Linked DNA regions of Coturnix japonica. The protein of the gene in region 1 purifies or fractionates together with the protein of each later gene. This does not show direct contact. Links are inferred from orthologs where the notes say so. Each region holds a gene or a part of one and is shown on either strand. Other genes may lie near its edges. The genes, in order: CLSTN1 and APBA2.

The links.
Region 2: the proteins of CLSTN1 (region 1) and APBA2 purify together in Homo sapiens (affinity purification with western blotting; 3 studies listed by BioGRID and IntAct, with this or other methods). This does not show direct contact. The link is inferred for Coturnix japonica from reciprocal best matches to the Homo sapiens genes CLSTN1 and APBA2.

What each region holds. Positions count from the first base shown.
Region 1 is NC_029536.1:2,980,805-2,984,627, forward strand, and holds part of CLSTN1 (calsyntenin-1), read right to left. Parts: intron 3,076-3,823; coding exon 2,880-3,075; intron 676-2,879; coding exon 467-675; intron 1-466. UniProt on the Homo sapiens protein: Postsynaptic adhesion molecule that binds to presynaptic neurexins to mediate both excitatory and inhibitory synapse formation.
Region 2 is NC_029525.1:4,913,923-4,917,745, forward strand, and holds part of APBA2 (amyloid-beta A4 precursor protein-binding family A member 2), read left to right. Parts: intron 1-223; exon of another isoform or gene 224-879; intron 880-1,159; exon of another isoform or gene 1,160-1,328; intron 1,329-1,672; coding exon 1,673-1,753; intron 1,754-3,008; coding exon 3,009-3,045; intron 3,046-3,351; exon of another isoform or gene 3,352-3,511; intron 3,512-3,823. UniProt on the Homo sapiens protein: Putative function in synaptic vesicle exocytosis by binding to STXBP1, an essential component of the synaptic vesicle exocytotic machinery. May modulate processing of the amyloid-beta precursor protein (APP) and hence formation of APP-beta.

The DNA.
Region 1 (3,823 bases):
ATAATATACATATATATAGTATTTAACAGTATTATATTACTCCAAATTAAACTATTCACAAGTGGTAACTGGTAAATAAACTTTATCAGATATCTGTTTCATCTGCAGACCTTCAGAAATGTGAATACCTCAAAAATTCAACCTAAAGTCAGATAAAAACTGTCTTGTTTTGCTTGGCCAGGTCCCCTGGACTCCTGGAAATAGTCCACAGATCACAGACTGAATGGAAATGACCTAAACAAAACAAAACACTACACTACACTTCAACCCCAATACACTGTAAACTTCAGAGCCACATGTAAACATCTCACATGGAAAAAACACACTAACAGAATCCTATTTTTGAAAGCATCACAGGAAAGAGTTAAAGCAGGGTTGCTGCAGTTTTATGCTGATCAATTTGAAGCCCTATGCCTAAGGCAGTGAATGACAGTAATTCCAACTCTGTCTTGCATCACATTCTTACCGTCTTTGTCAATAGCGAAAGGAACATCCGGAGTTACGATTTCATAGCTGCAGATCTGGCTGAACTGAGGTGAACAATCTGCATCCACCGCTTCCACTTTCAGGATGTTATCATACCTCTTCCCCTCAATAACGGTTGCCTTGTATGATTTCTCTTTGAACACGGGAGAATACTCATTAACATCGTTCACCTGAATGTGTACTGTTGCTCTGGAAATAAAACACCAAAGTCAGTTTTCTTTACATTGCAGATCTCCCATTCTTGTGTGGAGTCTGACAGAACACCTCGTTTACAGATGAAACCTCTAGAATTTAAGCTCCCTGAGGGATGTCACCAACTACTAACGAGACTAAAAATCTCAAGTACCCGAACAGGAAAAGCAGCGAATATTTTCCATGTGCTTTGCTATGTAATTCTGTGTAGTTCCAAGCTGTTGTTTACTACTGCTGTTTAAAATCAGGTAACCAACATTGCAACTACTGAGTTGCTGCCACTTTCCAGAAATATAACAAAGTACAGCTGTGACAAAATAGGCATTTAGTTCTGATAGCACTACAATTCTTTCAGCTCTCTTTTGCTGTCAGAGAATGTGACACAAACATCCAATTTTTATTTCACGTGAATGACAGACATGACTAGTCTTAGGCTAGGAGCTCAGTCAAGTGCCTTTGATTAGCTTTCTTTTGATAATGAAGCACTGAGTGCTGTACGTCAGTGAAAACTGATTTATTTCCTGGATGTAGGACTGAGAGATCAGACAATTTAAATGGAAGAAGAAAAATTGCAATAGGAAGATGCACTGTAGCACCTACAGCAAGCTAAATAATCTTACACAGACTGGGTCAAGAAAAGGTGAATACTGAGAAGTATCTGAAATGTAAATAAAGAATCCAATCTTTGTGGTCCTTATGTAAAAGCAAAAGACTTAAAATGCTTGTTTTTAAGAAGTATTTTTAGGTTTCCTTTTATCCTGTATAGCCAAACAATTGCACCAATAAAAGGCTTTCTATAGCAAACACTGCTTGTATTCCTCACTAAAGTAACAGCCACAAGGCAGGGAATAGCAGCAGTGGTTTGCAGGTACAGGTTTTAGAAACCCCATTATTTTTCTGTAGCAAAAGAAGAACTGCAGAACACAGTCCTGGATCACAGAGCAGTGCTGCAATGACAGCTTCACCAACCTCAGCCATCTTAGCTCACTACCCAGAGAGAAATCTGCACAGCCATAACACTGCATCACCTGGCAACCACACACATCACACCTCTACCAAGGAAGCTGTGCTTTGCCTGCTCAGAAAGGCAGAAGATCAGCCACCTGTGTGCCAGACAGTTCAACTATTTATTTACCATTCATGCACTTACTTGAGATGCCTAAAATAAGGTATTTCTGAATATGTACCAGAGAGACTGAATGGCTGCTTTTTTATTAGGAACTTTCCCAATTCTACTTTTGTTAACATTTCTCTAGACTACATATTTTAGCACAACATATTTTAGTTTTATATACATCATTCTGGATCTATCAAGAAGGATGTTTACATCTCAACCAACCTGCACAGGCACAAAAACACATTTCAGTTGTACAGTGAGGAGAAGGAACTGTATTACAACATCGAACTGAGCAACTCCAGCCAACCAAACAAAATGATAACTGCCATCTTTCTGTTTCATATCTTTCTTCAAAAGTAAAATTCAACAAGGATACCTATTTTCCATCAGTGTAAGCCTTAGCAAGACAACTTTCTGCTGTGTATTTGAAGCATAGAGCTATAGAATAGCAACTGTATTTGTCACCAAGATGACTGCTGGTAAACTAGTCCTCATCTTGTTCGTGTCCCTCTTTGCTTTGCACTGATAGTAATCTTTCACATGCTTGGCAGATGTTGACACCAGGGTGTTATACAGTTACTTGCAAGTCAATTTCCAGAGAGCAATTAAATTGTGGTTTATTCTTTAGATAAAGATTGCTTTGTTCCCATCCTTTAATCTAGGCAGAGAAGAACCTTATGCTATTGATCTTGCTTTTTAGGGTGAGGCCGACGGAAACCAAAGCAATATGTATTCTTTTCCACTTTGTCAAGGCTTATTGAACCTGGATTTTTGTCTTAGAAACTGAATTCTGAAACAATGTTATAACTGGTAACCCATGTTGAGTCTTTGTATCAATTCAAGCCTGATTTTAAATATTTCAAGAGTCAACAGAGATGTGGAGGGCAAAGCAGTACCACTGAGAATACAGTTACAGATATCAAAACAGTTCATTTCCATTTTGATACTATATTGCCATTATATAAAAGTCTTCCACTATTAACACTTGGTTTGCATTTACTCCAGACACACAGGATGTAAATCACCAGGAACAGGAGACCAGTTGAAACCAAACTTCCCCTCAGCCAACCACAGATTCACTTACTTGTGGGATTTCTTTGCATTTGCTCCATCTGGTCCCTTCCCACAGTCATAGGCCTGTATGGTGAACGTGTAGTCCTTCTGCAGTTCACAGTCGAGTTTCTCTTTGGAGCGTATTATTCCCTCACCAGTGGATTTATCCACTACCACTGCTTCAAAGGGGACATTTTGCCCATGAATTTTAAATCCACAAATCTCACCTACAGATTCAAAGCAACAGAGGTTAGAACTGGTCAAAATCACGACGCTTTTTTTAAATGAATGACCAAATAGTTTGCAGCCAAGGGTTTGTGAGGGTCTGTGGACAAAGCAAGAGCACTGTGCTTTAAAATGGGTGATTTCTGGGAACTTTAGTAAAAAGAAGCATACGTCTGCCTTCCAAGCAACTCGTTTACTTGCATCCATTCATGCAGGAATACAAAAGAGAAAAAGAGAAATGTAGACAGGCATTTCACAGGAGTACTTGAGATAGCTCTAGGGTAAGAGTAGAACTTATGAGAGCACACAGCCAAGGCCACTTGTAATCTCTTCTATGCCAAGCTACTGGGAATAGCTGGGCGGCTTGTTTATTTTGACCAGAGCAAAAGGTTAAAATGCACAGTTACAAGTCAAGGGATGAGAAAGCTTCAAGGACAGGTTCAGCACCTTAATTACAGAAATTCTGTCAAGAGATCAATGAACAAAGTCTTCCTGTGCAATGTACCTGACTAAAATTAGGGAATCAAAATAAACTACCGAATGAGAAAGGTAGAAATACCAACTTCTCAGGCATCCATTTCAACAGCTATCTACTAACAGACCAAATTTATTAATCGAGAAAGCTCTCACAAGGGACAATTTGGTAGGCTTTCTATTCCATTCAATCTCTTCATCCTAATGCACTTGAAATGAAGCTCCTTGTACATCATTCTAAAACACGTCTGAGCTTGAGATTACGTTACAAGTCAC
Region 2 (3,823 bases), on another chromosome or scaffold:
ATCTACTGAGTCCAGGTATAAAGTATTTACAATATCTTGCAGGTGTTTAGCTCCAATGTGCTTGAAAATAACTCAAAAATGAAATGTCATCCATGTATTTGGTGATATTTTACAGAAAGGCATGGAACCTTCTTTGGAGTTACTATCAAAGAGCATAATTGGAACTGTGATCCCAAGGGCTGCATAAGTCCATCTCCACTTAGGATTTGTGACAGACATATTTCAGTAATGTTTTGCAGCATCCAGTGTGCGCTTAATAAAGCAGCCAACCAATTCTTTATTGACGTGCAGGTGTGCTTTCATTTTATGGAGGTGTGTGGTAATCAGAACTGACAGTGATTTAAAAGTATTAAAATCCTGTTGTACGTATTGGATTTAATTTATTTGCTGTCACTCTTTTTACAGTTCAATGCATCTTCATTATGGCCATGTCATGTTTCCTGCTTAAAGCATATTTGGTCTAATCCTACTATTTTAGGGAATAACGTATGATTATTATAGTATTATTATCAAAGCCCTTTGGGTATTTGTTTACCCATATTGATATAATTCACTGCACATCAACACATATTGCTCCATATCAGTTCAGCCCTGCAATACGATTAGATTTGTCTTGTATCAAACAAAATAGCATTACTAAGTAAGCTTCTTAGCTACTGCAGCCATCTACACAAGGCACTGGTCTGCTTCCCCATATCGTGGAGTTCTGTGCCTCAATCCATCTCAGGTATTCTACTTCCCAAAAACCATGCTTACTTCTTTCCTTGTGTATGCTGTCTTACCTGAACGTTGTTGTTATGAAGTAGCGGCACTAATATATCTGCTTCAGTCTCACATTTTATTTAGCTGACAAACCATTATTCATGGGGAGTAATTTGTCTAGAGACAAACACAAAAACATTCTTTGATCTACAGCTGGGTATTGCATTTGGAAGTCAGCAGACAAGGAGTTATGCTCACAGGTAACTTTCATGCTAATGCTTTGAAATAATAATGGCTCAGCATTTTCCATTAGCACAACTGTTCGTACAGAACTGCATTTGTCCAGCCTCCCAGCACATTTAGGCACTCTTGTTTTACTCATAATGGGGAAGCAGAGAAAAAAAGGAAGTGAAATGTCCTTAACCATAAAAAATGACATCTAGAAATCTAGAATTACCTGGGTAATTCTATGATTCTATGATTCAGGCCTTCCAGATTTCCAACAGTGAAACGGTGTCAGGAAAGCTTCACTTTCTTGGCAGTTGTGGGACATGCAGTCCCTGTTCCAGGTGCTGTTCTGTGACTTGGGTCAGTCTTGAGAAATTCTGCTCATGAGGATTTTGTGGCTGAGAAGAAAAAGAGCATTCCCTGGTTTTAAGACTCATTTTTTCCCTCAAATATGCTTTTATATTTTCACTTCAGCATTTATTCAGAAGCCTGAAGCTGCGCTACCAGCTATCGGTACATGTCCAAAAATGGCCCAAAAAGAGGGAGATACCATAAGGAATATCCCATGAACAGAGAATCCTGGAGTCAGTGCTAGGATACTGCTTTCCCAATCAGAGGTGCCTTTAGGACTGTGTGATTTTGTCCACTGCTAAGCATGAACATACTTTAAAATTCTGATTTTGGTTTGTAAACAATTTCAGAAAACAGAAGAATTTTAAGTCCTTTCTCTCTTTTCTTACAGATGTGCAATGGTTTAGAACAGCCACGGAAGCAGCAGCGTTCTGACCTCAATGGGCCAGTTGACAATAATAACACACCTGAGGTAGGTGCTTTAGGCCATTCTGCGGGTTGAGAACCCAGTTACCAAACTGTCAGCTTTCTCCCTCTCACAAACATATTACATGAACTCGTCCTTTTCCTGAACTGATGATAAATTCCATGACTGTGTATTCAGATCTTTAAACCATACCCATGAGTCACTTGCTACCACATTCATTTAACCATCCACACTATATACTCAAGCCTAGAATTTTCTGATGACATAAATAAGAGAGAAAACACTTCAGAAGTTCTTGTATTACTGAAGAGTAAAAGCAACATCAAAAAGAAATTGGCTTCTCCTTGTTTTCTTTTCCCCTAAAATGCCAGATTTTGAAACCAAAGGACTGCTTAATTCTCACAGTCCTTTAAATAATCCCTAATATGAAGCACCTCATTCAGTTCTGAGGGCTCAAGTGATTCGTTTTCTTTTAGTGGCCTCTGGGGTGAATGTGTCCCTGCTCAGTCAGCTCTGGAAAAGACACAGTGATAGGCAGACCTGCTCTTGTCACTGAAGAGTGGAGCACACAAGGTACCTCAGAATGCACAATGAGGTTAAGCTCGAGGCTGGACACAATCAAGTAAAATTCAGACTAAAAAGCAGCAATGAGTTTTCTCACAAACATACAACCATATTTAGCCTGCTGCTTTACCGAGGAGAAAGATTTCTGAAGCCTTTTCTCATTAAGGAGAAATCAGCCCCTTCCTTGGAAACAGTGGTACCTGAGGAGGCCAATGTAAAACAAACAAATGGCAGGACTTGATCTGTTCATTTAGAGTATAGACAGTAGTGGTAGGCTTAGGCAGTGTGCAGTCAGGGACAGTTCTTTTCATTCATCGACTAAGAATCTTGATTTGTGAAATACCGTTAAATGTTCTTAATGGTAAATTCGGGATGTTATGTAGTGTGATCCGGTGGATGAGTTACTGGGCTGGGATTAGAATCTGTGGTTGGTATTGCTCATTTGACAGCTGACCTCATTTTTTTCCTCACACCACCTTATTTTTTGTATGATAGGACCTGCTTAAAATACTTTAAGATTCCAGGAAAACAGAACTGTGTAACAGGTTGGGTTAATTACTATAATGCACTGTGTTTCATTGTTGTAAATAATGGCGATGCAAAAGTTATGCAGAGAAAACTGTGTTGTGTTTTTTTTTTTAAATTAATAGTCAGCTATTTGTAATATGAATTCACTTGAGTTTGTGAAAATTATTTCATTACATTTACACCATGTATTACTTTTATTTTTCAACAGTCAAAGAAAGTGTCTTCGTTTCCAAGTTTTGTTGATGGTAAGTTACGCATCATCCAAGTTAAAGTATAAACAAGGAAATGATATATTTTAAAGATCAAAATTCTAGAATTCTAAAAAAAAAAAAAAAAAAAAAGTCAAAAAAAAAAAAAAAAAAAAAGTCAAATTCAAGAGAAGCAGCTCCAAAGTGTAAAGAATAAATTAAACCTATTTCTGTGCAGAATACACCACGTATGGAAATATTTAACATTCTTATACATACCACTGACAATGAGAGCTGATGACGATAAGAAGGGCAAACAGAGCACTAGGCGAGATTAAAGGCAAGATGGAGACAGCTACAAACCTGGAAGGAGATCAAATGGCAGAAAACAGTGGGTCCTGTCAGGGTGAGGTTCATGGAGGTAGAAGAGCACTCTGTTCTTTATCGCTTTGCACAGAGAAAGGAATCAAGCAACTGAACTGTTCAGAGATCTGCTCTGACACACTTTTCTCCACAATGTGAACTGTAAATGAAGGACACAAATTTTATTTCTGATGCCATTCCCAACACAAGGAAAAGTTACTGTGGCTTAGAACAATACTAGAATGTTCAACATGTTTTTCACCTATTCCCTGACCTTGTCAGCTTGACTAGCAGCTTCTGTTTCTAATCATTTCCTCCAAGATCTAGAGCAAATGGAAAGTTCAAAGACAGCCCCATTTACACAATTGACATCTGACAGAAACTACGCATCACGCTTGGCATACACTGGCTAACAGGCCCTAAATAGAAGTAAATTAAATGCATTTCCCAAAGGCAGGAGAGACAAGAAGGC